Linked DNA regions of Daphnia pulex. The protein of the gene in region 3 purifies or fractionates together with the protein of the main gene of each other region. This does not show direct contact. Links are inferred from orthologs where the notes say so. Each region holds a gene or a part of one and is shown on either strand. Other genes may lie near its edges.

The links.
Region 1: the proteins of calcyclin-binding protein-like (region 3) and OTU domain-containing protein 5-B-like purify together in Homo sapiens (affinity purification with mass spectrometry; 4 studies listed by BioGRID and IntAct, with this or other methods). This does not show direct contact. The link is inferred for Daphnia pulex from reciprocal best matches to the Homo sapiens genes CACYBP and OTUD5.
Region 2: the proteins of calcyclin-binding protein-like (region 3) and E3 ubiquitin-protein ligase NRDP1-like purify together in Homo sapiens (affinity purification with mass spectrometry; 4 studies listed by BioGRID and IntAct, with this or other methods). This does not show direct contact. The link is inferred for Daphnia pulex from reciprocal best matches to the Homo sapiens genes CACYBP and RNF41.

What each region holds. Positions count from the first base shown.
Region 1 is NC_060018.1:2,563,111-2,568,961, reverse strand, and holds OTU domain-containing protein 5-B-like, read left to right. Parts: upstream 1-1,931; 5' UTR 1,932-2,082; coding exon 2,083-2,214; intron 2,215-2,514; coding exon 2,515-2,675; intron 2,676-2,740; coding exon 2,741-2,984; intron 2,985-3,046; coding exon 3,047-3,202; intron 3,203-3,272; coding exon 3,273-3,429; intron 3,430-3,495; coding exon 3,496-4,176; intron 4,177-4,239; coding exon 4,240-4,475; 3' UTR 4,476-5,334; downstream 5,335-5,851. Other genes in the region: zinc transporter ZIP1-like, read right to left, coding at 116-1,243. UniProt on the Homo sapiens protein: Deubiquitinating enzyme that functions as a negative regulator of the innate immune system. Has peptidase activity towards 'Lys-48'- and 'Lys-63'-linked polyubiquitin chains. Can also cleave 'Lys-11'-linked ubiquitin chains (in vitro).
Region 2 is NC_060021.1:11,014,616-11,019,844, reverse strand, and holds E3 ubiquitin-protein ligase NRDP1-like, read right to left. Parts: upstream 2,973-5,229; 5' UTR 2,921-2,972; coding exon 2,831-2,920; intron 2,741-2,830; coding exon 2,598-2,740; intron 2,528-2,597; coding exon 2,371-2,527; intron 2,305-2,370; coding exon 2,017-2,304; intron 1,958-2,016; coding exon 1,682-1,957; 3' UTR 1,251-1,681; downstream 1-1,250. UniProt on the Homo sapiens protein: Acts as E3 ubiquitin-protein ligase and regulates the degradation of target proteins. Polyubiquitinates MYD88. Negatively regulates MYD88-dependent production of pro-inflammatory cytokines.
Region 3 is NC_060023.1:1,464,692-1,469,715, forward strand, and holds calcyclin-binding protein-like, read left to right. Parts: upstream 1-2,395; 5' UTR 2,396-2,704; coding exon 2,705-2,725; intron 2,726-2,841; coding exon 2,842-3,049; intron 3,050-3,118; coding exon 3,119-3,215; intron 3,216-3,275; coding exon 3,276-3,385; intron 3,386-3,450; coding exon 3,451-3,695; 3' UTR 3,696-3,763; downstream 3,764-5,024. Other genes in the region: protein SMG7-like, read right to left, coding at 1-1,976, 2,198-2,223; probable ATP-dependent RNA helicase spindle-E, read right to left, coding at 3,957-4,250, 4,321-4,563, 4,624-4,879, 4,943-5,024. UniProt on the Homo sapiens protein: May be involved in calcium-dependent ubiquitination and subsequent proteasomal degradation of target proteins. Probably serves as a molecular bridge in ubiquitin E3 complexes. Participates in the ubiquitin-mediated degradation of beta-catenin (CTNNB1).

The DNA.
Region 1 (5,851 bases), on a different chromosome or scaffold from region 3:
AAATTGGAGAACGCGTGGACAATAGTATCATGCCAGAGTCAACGAGGAGTAAAAGAAAAACAGAGAGAGTATGTAAACAAATGAAGATCATCACGAAAGAACGAATTTTGCGGATTTAATGGTGCGATCCCATTGTAATGGTCACAAGCGCCATTGCTATAAATCCAAGGAAATGGAATGCAACTTTAACCATTCTGTCTTTCGAACTAGCAAGTTCGGCCGGAATAAGTTCGAGGAATGTGACGTGAATGAATATCCCAGCTGCAAGAGATTGAAATATTGCAGAAGCGACAGATCCACCAGTACCGGGAGCTTGTTGAACGACCAGTCCAAGACAAATCCCCAAAGGGACAGCCAGTGAGAAGATGAGAATATATTTGACTCCTTGTTGGAGAGTCAATTGCTGTCTTGCCATTGTGATACCAACTGAAAAGGCGATGAGGGCTTCATGAAACACGATCGCGAAAAACAGGTGAAAGATTTTCATTTGTTCTGTCTGCAAGCCCAAGGCCATTCCTTCAAATAATGAGTGAATGCTAATAGCCATGTACAGCAGAGTTAGGCGTAGGGTTCCCCCAGATTTGTTCTTGAGAATTCTTTCTACTTGATGGTGGCTGCAGCCTTGGGCTGGTTCCAATTGAAGAACTTTTTTAGGACTAGGTGCTTCATCGCTATCTTCTTCCTTAAAGGTGACCATAGGAACATTTTGATAAATCCTGGGGATGTTGATTTCCTTTAGAATCGAAGGACTCTCTGGTGAGACTGCTTCTAATGCTTTTTTGCCAAGCAGTTCTTCTGAAGCACTTTCATCTCTGACTGTGTTATAATAATTCAGTTTACTTGATCTATCAGTTTCGTCAAAAGCCATTGGGACTTCCCAGTCTCCATTGGTCTTGTTCTTTGAATTTTGGCATTGAAGAATGAGCTGTTCGACTGACATGATAAGGAAAAATCCTAAAATGCATGTGAATTCAGCAACAGGAAAATCAGTTGTTATATTAAGGTCTGCAAGCACTTTCCTCGTCTTGTCTTGCGCATAAGGAAGTAGTCCTAGAAAGCACATTGCGATGAAGACTCCACCAGCCATGGAATTACAGAATGAAATTATTCTTTCTGTACCACGACTAAAGTTGCAGTCCTTGGTAGATTTCTTGGCTACAATGCAGACTGGAATCAAAGCACAAATTGCCATAACAATGTACACAATCAAAGCAGTGACAACCAGCAGTACTTGGCTATCCATGTTGACTGCCACTATGCTTGGATGTGTCTGATGGACTGATGCAACTGTTTACTCTTTTAGAATTTTTCGTTTAGTAATTTTCAGCGTTCGCACAGGCCAGATGCCACTGACTCTACTCACTGTCCCTTCGCGTTATTATAAAACTCAAAACTACTTGAGACAAGGGCACTTACTGCGCCTTGAGCGAAATATTAACTCGAGCTCGGTCAACACCCTCTGTCGGTCGATTTGTATTTATTTTTATTTTTTTTGTGCTTTACATCTTCTGCTCGTTTTCTTACTTCATGCTAGAAGGAACCTACGACAGGTTCTACAATAATGCTACAATAATTAATTCACCTACCTGAAAGGTATATGCAGGGTGATTTTATTCCTTCCTGGCAGAAGTTATGCAATGTTTCACTTAAAAAGTAAAATTCCAGACACACGATCAAAACGAAGTCAATGTCACAATACTGGCAGAGCAGACAGAATGTTCGTATACAATTAACATCCTTGGTTGCCTTCTTCGAGCAAAAATTCGGAAATTGAAAAATACATATTAGCTAGAAGCTAGCTAAAAAATATTTTTCAACACAATTTTGCAAACATGAAAAATTATGTTTTTTATTCATAGCATCACTCCGAAAATTCATTCCATTGAAAATTTGAAACATTTTGAAACTCTATGTTTTCGCTTATTCATCGACATGGCAACCTCTAAATAATTTAGACAGAAAAATAGACACGGCCATCTTTCAGTGGAAAATTTGTCTTTTTCGTTGAATAGATAAAAGAAATCGTCGAAGAGTACATTTCAAGGGCGTTTCGGTAAAGAGAGTGATCTTTGCACAAGCATCATGACAATTCTGCCGAAAAAGAAGTCATCTCAATCACGGTCGGAATCCGAAAGTAATACTGATGGATCTCCCCTACAACACCTCTCAGTTGGGAGCAATAATCACCTTTCACACATTGGACCAGTACCACAGGTAAAAAAATTATTTTTATAAATATACCCCAGTATTTAAACAGCCTTTGGAAGAAATTATGGCTGGAAGTTTCAGTGCATCTTCTAATTGACATCTGAAACAACCACACAAAATGGCCGGTCCAGCTACAACCAGTACTTATGTACAAGAAGCAAATGGTGCTTTGTTCATTACACCCTTGCCATTTAGGCAGTGCTCAATGAATAAAAGCAAATAGTATTGATAACTATTATTGACAAAGATGACAAAAAGTCAGCATTGTTGATTCTTATTAAAATGTATTTTACATAAATTTTACAGGTAGCAGAAACTTGCAGTGTGTCTAGGCTGTCTGGAAGAACATCATCAAGCCATCCCCACAGCCACGGACACAGCAGCCAGTCATCATCTCGCTATGAAGATTATGACCTGGAGAGTGGTCCTAGTCAAACAAAAAGAAGAATGAGAGTCAGTCCCCATAGGTATTTAATCTCAGTTATTATTTTGTTGCATTGAAATTTGACAGGCATATTTTTTTTTTATTTAGAGCTGTCCGCCCCAAGCACAGAGATAGGAATTCATCAACCTCTGCCATACCTAGTACTAGTTCAGCCATGCACAGTGTTGCCTCTTCATCCAGCTCAGGAAGTTCTCCCACACCAAGCCATACAGTACCAGATCCTTCTTCCCATGAAGATGAATCAGGAAGTGGATATAACAGTGGAGATGAATATGGACCTGCAAGATCTTCATCTTCTAATGTCCCCATTTCTGAAGAAGAATGGGAACAGGTATGTTTCCTAAGACAGAAGTGTTATTCATAGAACTCCATCAATGCCAATATGATTATTAGAAGGAAAGATGGTTTGAGAAAAAGATGCGGAAACGAGGTTTTATTATTAAGCGGATGGGTGAAGACGGAGCCTGCTTGTTTCGTGCCGTTTCTGATCAAATCTACGGTGATCAAGAAATGCACTCAATGGTTCGCAAACATTGTATGGACTATATTGTAAGTAATTGTCCTGTTGTATTTTTATGAATTTGAAACATTACGTCTATATTTATATTTGTCATAAAAGGACGCAAACGGAGACTACTTTTCACAGTATATGACTGAAGACTTTGCCGCCTATGTGAGTAGAAAAAGATTGGAAAATGTACATGGCAATCACATTGAGATGCAGGCTATGAGCGAAATGTACAACAGACATATTGAAGTATTTTGCTACAGCGTCGGTAAGCCCTTATCATTTCGATAAAATTCGCTAAATAGAAGGCTTACTTAAATTTAACCCATTACAGAGCCGATCAATATTTTCCATGGTAAACATCAGACTGATGACGAACCTATTCGATTGTCTTATCATCGTGGAGTGCACTACAACAGTTTGGTTGATCCGTACAAAGCCACTGTGGGAGTAGGACTGGGATTGCCAGGATTTGTCCCTGGTCAAGCAGACAAGAAATTAATGGGTGATGCCATGCGACAAAGTGAAGAGACCTTAATTGAAAAAGCCATGTTAGAAGATAAAGTTAAAGCCACAGATTGGGAGGCAACAAATGAAGCTATTGAAGAGCAAGTTGCCCGTGAAAGTTACCTCGACTGGCTTAGAGAAAACGAGCGACGCAGTCGACAGCAGCAACGGTCCGGTCATTCGGCAACCACTTCCTCGAATGCCTGCGAGCTCCGTTCCCCAAGAACAACAGCAACGACGTCCTCTTCAGCTCGTAATTCGCCCAAACCATCTTTTGTTGAACACCAGCGGAAGTCTCCAAATGCTTCACCGAGAGCGTCCACTTCACGCAGCGCCACAACCTCTAGTAGTCGTGAAGGTGCATCAACTAGCCCTATCGCGTCACCGGCCGCTGGTACTTCAAGTTCAAACCCAGTGAACACCAGTAAACCCGATTGGGGATTGGGGCCAGGCTTTGAATTGGCTGAAACGGCTTCATTCCTGGGACAGTTGCCTCCTGACATGTTTGGTAACTGACGTTTATATCAACAGATATTTTCAGTTTAATTTTATGCTTTAAAATTGGCTAAAGGTTTAGCAGACTGGGAGGATGCTGGACTTTTGGCTCAAGTGCTGGCTGCATCGCAACAAGAGTATCTGGACAAGTTGAAAAAGAGCAGGGAAGCCATCGACCCTCACGACGACGAGACGATGGATAACACCAAACAGCAGCAAGAGGAGCAGCCGGTTGAACAGAGCAGTCGCGACAGTATGACGACAGATCCAACCAACGACCTGACCAGTGCGAACGGGACTAACAATAGTTAACCCAGACTCCTCAGTTGTTTTGTCTACGTGTTAGCTTTCCTTTTTTTTTCCCCCCGTCAGTGGCAGGGAGCTCAAGAGGCGTGTATCAGGGGAGGAGTCAGAAGAAAGTCCTTTCCATGCAAAATTGTTAATCTTTGATTCTCGGTCTAAATTTAGACTCGCAATGACGTCTGACTGACACAATTGGATTGAACTTGCCTGTACCCCCGTCTCCTCCACTGCCGATTCTCGCAAACTGGCTGCCAAATCATGTAAAAAAAATTCATCCGCGTTCAAAGTCCAGTGAAGCGAGAAAGGGAGAAATCACTTAAAAAAAAAAAAAAAAAAAATGAGGATTGTAATAATTCGTTACACAGCTTTTCTGTCAAAATAGCCGCGGATGCTCCTCTTGCCCTCCTGGTGCCTTTGAATATCTTTCGTCGTGGTTTTCTCCATTTCGTTTTGCGGATGCTGGAACTAACTAACGTCTCCCCGTACCTTGGCAGCAGCTGATGTGATGGCCATAACTCGCACTCTTTTTTCTCGTTTGTCACGTTCTTTTGTTTTTGTTTTCGTTTAGCTTTTTCTACTAGTTGTAGGATAGAAACACGTCAAGCTATTCCGTCTGTTGAAAGCTAAATCATATGTTTTCTTGTATCACTGACCTCTTGTGCTTTTCGTGTGTATTTGTTTTAAATCCCTCTCTTCCCTATTCTGCTCTTGACACTCTTGGTTGATGTCAGAAAAGGTCAATGGCTTTCTTCTCTTTATCTCTCGCCCGTATATTGCAGATATAAATCTATTTGATGATGACGAAAAATTTAAGAAAATGAGAGACAAAAAATAAGCTTTATGCAAATAAATTAAGAAAACAAACAGACTGCCGGTATTGTAATCAAGGCGAGGATGTGCGTACATTTGTGTATTAGAAGAGAGAAACTCAATGCAGTAAACTATTTGATGAATATGTGGAGCAGCGCGCTTGCGGAAAATAACGTGGCCCGATTTTCTTTTTTTCATAAAGGCGGCCATGCTCATGGTCAGCGCAACGAGAAAAGAATTCTATATATTTTTTGGGCCAGAGAGGGCAGGAAATTCAGCCCGCTTTTGGCTAGAAAATGCGGTTGCAATGGAATATAGGGGAAACTGTATAGACTGGGTTCAGCTCGCTTCTGATTGGTGACTTGCTCGTTGACGTCACAGATCGGCCATATTGAAAAAAGCCAACACCAGGGGGCCACGAAGGCGCAGTGGCGCCCTCGACGGTCAGACAAGAGAATTTCCAGTCTTTTATGTGTGGCCTGCAGAGTGTGGTGTGTCTGTGATTTCGGCGTTTGGGTCCGGTCGACGACACTTCTCCCACCCTGAAAACAAAAAAAAACTGTAGAGTGTGTGTG
Region 2 (5,229 bases), on a different chromosome or scaffold from region 3:
TGCTATGTATAAATTACCTGAGACTGTGTTCAAAAATTGTCACCACAGAGCCGACGACAACAACAACAACCATTTCTCCTGCTCCTCAACCCGTTTCTTTTGGTTTTTGTTGTCCTCCCAGCGTGTGTGCTGGTTGCGCGGGTCTGTGGACAAGTCGTGTCGTGATTACCCACATTATCTTTCTCTCCCTCTCTCTCTCGTGTTCGTGCTCGCGCGAGCGAGATTGAGCTCACTGGCCGTCATTATGGAGCGACGACGACGTCTTGCTGCGCTTCTTTCCTCTCCCGACCCCGCCCAATTTGAGACGAAGAATTATTGAGGTTAAAGCGACAAGGAGAAGAACAAACAAATGTGTGCTGCAGTTGCGCAGTGTGGGCTTTTTTTGATTATTTGATTTTCTTTTTTTTTTGTTCAAAACCGAACGGACCTCACAGATCAGATCCGATTGTCAGCAGATTCGGGATCGTCGGTTACCCCCCATTTTTTCCCTTCATTCTGAAACTCGCTCACCCCCCTTACAAACTTTAATTGCCGTTTGATTCACCCCCCATCTTTTATTTTCTCTCTCTCTCTCTCTAAATAGATATACAGAAGATTTTATATATTATATTATCGATTCTATTACGTCGAAACAAAAGCCAATCATTTGTCTTTTATTTTCCATGCGTGTGTGTGTGTTTCAGATTCCAGAAGCTCAGTACAAGAATTGTATATACATGTTCGCACAGACACAACAAACACAATGTAGTTTTTCTTTGACGTTTGATTTCGATCCAACCACTTTATTATTACGTCTCTCTCTCTCTCTCTATCTCTCTCTGGCTCATCGATTTTGTCCTTAATTGTGAATAACTTGTTTTGAAATCATCTCTTTAGCTTCCCGTATCATGTTGTTTCACTACCCGCCGATCCTTCCCCTCCGCCATTCGAATGGAGACGAAAACAAAGTTTCGAAAAAGAAAGAAAATCAACTTCATTAAAAAAGAGGAAGTGTTTTTGAGTGATGTGATTAAATACTCGGATGAGCATGGCTATGTGATGTAGTGCGATTACATCTCCAAAAAATCCACCCCCAACCCTCAACCCATTTCCACACTTTGAAAAAAACAAAAATGTTACATAACATGTGTGACGATGATGTGATTATAACTGAAAAGAGAGAAGAAGTAAACCCGGTTTGAAAAAGATAATAACAGAAAAATAATCGACGAAAAGATAAAAAAAAAATACACACAAACACACACTGTCTATACCATACGATTGACTTCTCAGTTATTGTTTTATTATTTATTATTCCGCAGCATCGGCGGAATATACTATCATTATTTGCACATAAAAGTTGATGATGAAAGAAAACAAGATTTTTGCCATCATTAATCAAGTATCGAACATTTACAACCGCCGAAGAGCGGGGACACCAATTGAGAAACATTTCAAATAAAAACCTACACCTAGCCCCCAAACTGAGCACGATTCAATGAAAGTAACTGATGACGATAAACAATTCGAAAAAAGATAAATCAGATTCTTTTAAGTAAGTTGAGAGGACTGCTGCTTCTGAACTAAAGGACAAAAGGGACAAATTCATTAGTGTCAGCTCGCTGGAGTGGTCCAGCCGGTCGCGAGGACACTGAAGACAAACATGTTGTTGGATTAATAATCTGACAAGAATTCCGGGGTGTCACTCTACACCGTGAGCAAAAATCATGATGAGACCCGGTTCCAATATCATATCTGGATTCATATGTCCGTTGTCGCAGGCCATGACGGCCACGGCTTGTTTGCCCGGAATCCTCCGGCAGACATAGTTCTCGTATTGACGCCGGTTCAGCTGGCGGATTTCCAACGACGACAATCCCGTCGGCCACCGCCGTTCGTGGGCGTTTTCCATCAGATCCTGGATGATGTGCGGTGGGCAACCCGATTCGGAAAGGGCTCTCTTGATCATTGCCTGCAACTTTAAAAGGTTATCGTATTTGATTGAATGTATTGAGCTCGCCAACTGTAGGATATTACCTGTAGCACCGTGTCCGGAGTCGAGATCATGCCACCCCAGCGCAGGACTCTCGCCTTGGGTAGAGTTTCGGCCCAGCGTCTCACTTCGTCGGCTTCCATCTGATCTGCCAGAATCCGCAGCGAAGGATTGGCGTTCCGCATGGCTAGCATGTAGTCCTTCAGCAGCTGCAGTTCTCGTTTCTGTTCGCTCATCTGAAATTTGCCCTCGGCTACTTCCGCCTGCACCTCAACTAGTTTCGATTGCTGGGCCTGCATCAACGAGCGCAGCTCTCGCACGCAGTTGTGTTCCTGGAAATGCAATCAACATAAATAAGGTACTATTTAAAGTTGTAACCTGTAAAACAACCCACTTACTTTCAACTCGTCTTTTGGCACAACTAGCCCACAGCCGAGCTCACATGGCACCGGTCTCTTTGGATTGAACTCACATTCTTGTACATGAGACTCCAGGGCATCTAGTTTCAATATTGCAGTGCACCCATAAACAGAGTTATCACAAGTGAGCTGTAGTCTAGAAAAATAATAGAGAAATGGTACAATTTCATACTGATAATAAGGTTTCAAACTTCCAAACCACCAACCTGTATAGTAGGTTCCGAAGTATTCTGGGAACAGGTCTCAGCTGAGGAGGGGTTATGTTTTGTCTGTCGACAGGACAAGTTGGCTGTCTCGAGAGCCACTCGTGAATGCAAGCAGAGCAAAATGCATGCTCACAGTTGGGTGCCTGAAATTACAAGTCTATTAAATCCATCACATTCCCTCTGGGGAAATTTTATTGCTACTCTCGCTTTTGGAAGCGAACTGTCATTATTACCTGTAACGGATTTTCGAGCACTGAACTACAAATTGGACACAACAATTCTTCATCAACTTCTCCTTGAAATCGATTTATTTCAATTCCCATTTTTCTTGGTTAACAAAACGGCCAAGAAAACTTTGACCTAATTAAGTAAACACACCTGCTTCTCAGTAAGAGTTCGCGTTTCTTTCTTTTTTAATAAAGGGGGAACAGAATTGACGTACCTAAATAAATGCAACAACAAGGTGTTGCAGAGCCATCGGGCGGTAGAAAAATTAAACCGTAAAACGCAGTCTGACGGTTAGGGAACGAAGTTTACATATGGAAGTGCCAACGTCACTTCTTTTCATTTCAAACCAATCCTTCAAATGCTGAACATGTAAGTTGATCAACACGTGGTTATTCTGGGTTTTCTAATTTTTTAGTTTCTCATTTAAGTTTTGAAAACGTAGTTGTAGGATATGGTTAACGCTCTTAACACAGTAATTAGCCTGAACATTTTTAATATCTATATGTGTATTGCTTTGGTAAGGTTGAAGTCTAATAAAACCGACTTTCTCTAAGAAGTATATTATAGAGAAAGAAGCCTCAGGTTGGTCTGGGGTTTCTTTGGTTAAAATGGACAAGTTTGATAATAAGTAGTTTTAAGTGAAATTCCATGTTCAGTCTGAAATCAATGTTGCAGTAACGGTCATGAGGCGAATGAAATTTCCTCTTGTCTAGTAACTAACTTGTCAATTTAAGTTGTTAATTTGCCTCATGTAGGAACAGGTTTGATTATATCTCTTAATCTGTTCATTTTAGGTTGATATCTTCAATGCCAGGAGGGATGATGGCAGATGAGTGCAAGGATCGGAAACAATTTTTGAAGGGCTGTGAGACAAATCATGCATTTAGGCTACATTGGTGCCTTGAAGACGACTAGTTTGGAAGGTAAAAACGAATTCCTATTGTATATGGGTAAATAGTCCTGATGACCCTAGGATTACAATGAAATTTAGTGTACCTAAATTAATATTTTGATTAAATCTCTATCGCAATATTCTGAAGTGTAGACCAAAGCAGTATCACACTGAAATGGTTTGTAGATTTTCATGATCAATTATGTCTAGATTGATTTCTGACCTCACTTGGTTTTGCACCGGTTGGTTGTAACCTATCTTCCAGAATTCGCTGATTTGAATGTAATCGAGGAATAAAGGTTGGTTTTCTTATCATATATGTAAAATATGCTGTTGGATTTTGCTGATGACACTCTTAGGACACCTAAATATGTACCCTGATTACTAAATGTGCTGAAAGTATCGAGTGACTTGTCGTCATTTTGGTCTAGTCCTCGCCTTAACGTTATATCGTTTTTACAGAGAAGATTCCATGCCAAGACATTTCGTGGAGGATGGATGTCGACTGTTACGGCTATGGAGCCAATGGAGGAGGTATAGTTATTTTTACATTTGCATTTGAGCCTCAGAGTCACCGGTTTAACGCACATGTAGTATTCCGGTGCTAGAGGATCTCATAAATTAAACGTCTAACCACTTATGCTCGATCTGTATTTATTGCAGAGGTTGATCACCTCGGTTTGAGACAATTTGTTTTGACTTTACAGGAAGATTTAACATTTTAATGGTGTTTATTTTTATTTTTTTGCAGGCAGTGGGTGTGCATTACACTAGATGAGATACAATCATGAAGGTGTTTGCGATTCTTAGGTAAATGGACAGTTTTAATGGTTTCTTTTGGATTTTTGTGATGAACAACAGTTTCCTGTGTTTCTGACAACCATGAAGACCCACTCGAGTCCCTGATAATTCAGGCTTTTTAATATCATTTAATCGGCTGTAAACAAATATTGACGATTTGTTTGGTTCGTTTATTCAGATTGTCTTGTTTAACAACCGCCGTCGATTGTTGAGCTACTGGGCCAAAAACTGGAGTTTCATTTTCTTTCGTTTCGAGATGCTGGTGATTTCATGATCTACGTAGTGAGTAGAGAGAATTACTTGTAATGTTTAACGTAAATTGAAATGATGAGAACGCTTAAAAGCATTTTCCGAGTTCCATGATGATTCATTCTGCCTTCCTTTTGATCTTTAACTGAGTTGACGATATCAGCGATACAAACTGATGTTATAGATTTATTTTTTTCTGTAGGTAATGTGGTATTGCTTCTTGGTCAACGTCATTGGAATCCGAGGAGTTCATTTTACACAAGGTAAATTTTTTTTAATGCGAGACTCGGCAAACAGGTTTGTTTAAGGAGACAATTGTACGCCAGGTTTCTTATTGTCCTGTTTGCAACATTAAAGCGAGTCCCTGAGGCCTTTCTTGCTTTGTTTTTTTTTTAAGCAAGGGGTTGGGCAACCGGACAAATTCATGAAAATAACTTGTGTTTTTTGTGTGTTCAGATGGAC
Region 3 (5,024 bases):
TGGGGCGCTGCTCGTTGGGGTTTACCAAGTTAGTGACTGGGAAACTAGGCAGTTGACCAGGATGCCACGGTGCGGTCGAATTGAATAGACTGTAGGGTGGCACAATAGAGGACGGTGGCGGAGGTAGATTGCCAGCCATAGCCCAGGCTGCTGGAGGCGGAGGGAAACCCAAACCAGGGGGTGGAACTGTTGGCGGAGGAATAGACAAATCCGGTAAGGCACTGGCTGCTCCAAAACTCGAATACATCCCTCCATAATTGTTATTTAATTGCTCTCGTTCTTTTTGCTCAGCTTTGAGTCGCTCCAAACGAGGAGGCAACGATGGTCTGGGGTAATTGATGCTACTGCTGTTGCTGATTGACTGTTTAACAGGAGGGAGAGGAGGAGCCAGCACGTGCTGGAATGTCACTTGCTTGTTGTGAGACTCGTCTTGTGACTGTGACGGGATTGGATCATCATCGACTTTTTGCTTCAGAATGGCCGTTAGTGCCACGTTGCGCTGCGGTGGTCGAGCCAAGATTTTGATTTCCTTTACAGGTTCGATCGATAAATTTTCAATCAGTTTGTCAACAGGCGATTCATCCGGTCTCAGGCTGGAGAAAAGCCATTCGGGTTTGTCTTCGCCACTCTGCACCGTCAACGCCAAACACCCAAATTGTTGTTCAGTCAACCATTTTCCTCGTTGGATGATTCTCGACGCTCTTATTCGATGCTCATCTACTTGAGTCACTTGCGTTGAAGGCCATCTAGAAGAGGGGCGGAGTGGAGCGAATTCGAGCAATTCTAAATCTTCCGGAAGAGGTCTTCCATCGTCGTCTACGGTGAAGGAACCGTTGGATGCAAAACAAATTTGGAGCTGATTAAGTAATTTCGCTGTCGACGACCAGAGCTGGCCGCGTTTGATTTTCGTGAGCACTTGTGGCTGAGAGTGGAACCAATCGAGGACAAGTTTGATCACGCACAAGTACCTGGAGTTGGGAAGCTGTTGGTCGGGCAGTGAACAACAGGCTGTTAAGCAAGCATTGAAAACAGATGAAGCGACATCGATAGCCAACTGAAGTGATCTCTTTTGGGCGTCGGTGGCCGAGGCTGCACTACACTCGCCCACCGAATAGAGAGTGATGGTCAGCATGCGGATCAATTGTGCTGGAGTCAGGGCTTCCGTGGCCACTAGCGATGGCCAAGTCAATGTCAAAAGATTTACCGTTTGCTCCGCTTGATCCAGATCGACACCTAGTCCAATTTGTCCCTGCAGCTTGAGAAAAGCGAGAAGAAACTCTTCGGCGCTCAGTCGACCTCCGCGAGTTTTCTGGTAATTTGATACTTGCACAGATTGTTTCTTCAGGAGTTTATCGAGATTGATTCTAGCAGGTGGAAACGGATGTTTGAGGGCCAAGCTGCGGACGTAGTAAAACAGCGTGGACAGCATATCCCCCCGTGCTGATACAAGCAGTGCCAATTGGTTGTAAGGATGTCCACTTGAAGGTTCAACATTGATGGCCTGATTGTAGTATCCTTCGGCTTCAGTCAAAAGATTTCTGTATCTAGCCAAATCTCCCAAATGGATCAAGCAGTGCTGGCAGATGTAAAGGACTGACTCATTCTTGGGCTGGAGAGCATAGGAGGGGCCATTGAAGATTCCTAATTGGGCATTTCTCTTGCAGATGGATGAGCTTGTGTCGCACTGGGCACAAATTTCTTGCAGCAGAAACATGTAGAATCCAGCTGCTCCTTCCAAAAACAGTTTGAGGATGGGATTGCTACTTTTCTTCCCTTGTTTTGGTTGCAGCCCCGAGATGGGAACTTTAAAACACACATTCCACAAATCTTGCTCAACTTTCTTGTCAAGTGCATAGTCCAAATTTGACAAAATAATGTCTTTGTACAGGTTGCGTAAAACATAGAGGAAGCTGCAGTGAGAGTCATTTGTCACATCAATGACATCTGGCATAGTTGATCTGGTGTCTCCCGCTTCCCTGAGAAAAAGTAAACAACACAAACATGGTAAGTAAAACCAAAAAACATTTAATGTGACATGATAAAGTTTATCATTCAAAAACAATGTCAAGTATAGTATAGGAACATTTTTAGTTAGTTATTTGCTTTTCCAATGTAACAAGGACGAGTACTCCCACCCACTGTAACAGTTTCCAAAACCTTGCTTAAATACTCCCACGTGTTTATACGGCAATCTTACCTCCATAATTCTTCAGCCGTTCTCATTTTTAAGAAGTGGTATTGTAGGGATTGTATAATTCCCGAAATTACAATCGGGAGCAGTACTCTCTTTCACTTGCACACTCATTAAAAAAAATCTGTAATTCATTCATTCATTCAACAAATTCGTCTGCTTCTGTCTAGCCATCTAGTAGCCAAAACACGAAGCTTTTGTATTTAAAAAGCATGAATTTGAAAGAAGATTGTTCGAGAACATGCTTGGAGAGATTACGAATTTAAAAAAAGCTGCGGTTGATATTTCACACCGATCCCACCGTTGAATTATATTTTGTAACACAACACCTTGGAAATAGAACCGCAGTTCGCCATAGGCAGCACTTGGTTCAATTCATAATTGCCGTTTTTTTACAGTCAAGCAGAAGACGTCGAATTGACAAAAATTTAATCATTCCCTTGTGGTTGCAACTTGCACATTTCGTTTTGTCAAATCACTCTTACGTTGGTTTTCTTTGAGTACAGTTGCAAAATGCCTAGACCTATTGATGAAGTACGTAACATTTATTTTTTCCTAATTTTTTTGTGTTTAAAAACTTGTGTTTCATAAGATTTTCTTGATGATTGACGTGTACATGATACTAGTGTCTCGTTTGTTGAAACTTTCAGCTTCGTGCAGATGTTGATGAGCTGAAGAAATTGACAGACTTGGCCACGCGCCAATCTGTGAGAGATGTTTTGGGCATCGAAACACGCCGTTTAGAAACTGAAATCAGTCTTCAACTCAAAGACAACATGTTCAATCTTGAGGCAAAACCAGCTGCCGCAGCTGGAGCTTCTGCTGTCAGATGTTACGATGTCAAACTTACAAACTATGGTAATCTTTTATAAAATTTTATGCTGAAGAAAAGTTGATGATTTAATGTTGTGTAATTTATCTCTTTAGCTTGGGATCAGTCTGACAAATTCTTCAAGCTATTCATCACTCTGGCAGATGTCCAAACTCTTCCTGCTGAAAATGTAGTTTGCACCTTTGGTTCCAGGTACAATGATAGTTAAAAACATTTGCATTAATTCAATGACTAAACTGTATGATTTTATAGATCCCTTGACCTCTCAGTTAAGGAACTAAAGGGTAAAAATTATTCTCTGGTCATCAAAAATTTAGCTGAAGTTATTGATGCATCAAAGAGCCACTGGAAAGTAAAAACAGGTAAAAAAAATACTACACTAAAGTATAGTGACATGTGTATTAATCCTGTCCCCCTTGTTTTCCAGATTCTGTGGTAGTCTTTCTATCAAAAGTTAAACCAATCACTTGGCCCACTGTTACTATGGAAGAAAAGAAAATCAAAGAATCTAAAGCCCCCAAATTTGACGCATCAGCCAGCGACGATCCACAGGCGAGCATGATGAACATGATGAAGCAACTCTACCAGGACGGCGATGATGACATGAAGCGACAAATTGCAAAATCTTTTGCAGAAGGTCGAGGAGGTAAAACCCCTGATTTAGGGCTTTGAAAACTTAATTAAATACTTAAAGTATTTGTCAATTCTTTAACGAACAATATACAAGAAACGTTATCGAATTCTTTGTATTTTTCAAAACAATTAGCATTCATCGACTGTTTCACAAACAGGACACGATGTAGGAACAACAAATCAAAGCAATAATACCGACATATCTTAATTTTGGTTCTGGATTGAAACAATTGGTTTTACCAATACTCCAAACAAGTTTTTCAATAAGAATGCTTCATTTCAGATTAGACTGCAATCCCTTCAGGGGTTAAGCTTGATACAGTCGTGGAGTGGAATCAGAGTATCCAGTTGACTTTCAGCGACATCCGACTGTAGAAGGTTTTCGGGTTTGATGAGATTCCATTTATAGCTGGTCGAGGGTTCGAACTTGACGTCACCACGCGGTTTGGTGATGAGCTCAAACAAAAATCCAAGCGTTTTCTGACTGACTTCTCTCATGCGCTCCTGGGATGGCGCTGCGTGGTGCTGACTGAATGACGGTGCGCCCATAACGGAATTCAACCAAAATCTAATTTTGTTGATGAGAAGCACATCCTAAAGGGAGATACAATAAAAAACTGTGTAAATATTTCGTGAAATAGAAAACAACAGTATAAACACTAACCGTAAGACCAATCTCCGAGTCAAATGTAAGTTCCATATCATGTTCAGGATAGAAGGATTGCTGCTTCACTTGATCGTAACCCAACCCACAAATGGCACCCGTAAGGCGTTTAATCTCCTTGTCCGCCCGGAATTCAGCTCTCGGGGCAAAAAGAAGCGTCAGAATGGCCGGTAAACCGGGGATATTTGGAAGCAGAGTGGTGCTGCGAGCCTGGACATGGCGACCGTTTTGTTGAGATCCGACCTGTAAAGAAGAAGAATTTAAAAATAAAATGTAAAACATAGTGATTCAAGGTATCCTTACGTGAGCAGCAACGAGAACGCGCTCGTGATGATCTCCAGGTTGATCTTCCAGTATAACTGAGTTGACGGAATCATCTTCTATCTTGACCAGGCTACCCAAAAGGGATTGCACTTTGCCGAACATCTTCATCTCCAACGGATTAACAGGGCCAACGAGTTTGACAACAGAAGTTTCATTGCGACTGTAATGTCTTGGCTCGTCAACTTCAAGTTCCATTGCCAAATACTCGGCAGCCACAGATCTCTGTTCCTCCAACCTAGTGAGCGTAAAATTGTCAATTTCATTAACCGATTTTTTAAAATTTAAAATTATAAATTACTCTCGTTGTCGGTGTCTAGCCATGTGAGAATTCGGCTTGGCTTCTTGTGCGGATTGACGCTGTTCATTATCTTGTTTGTTCA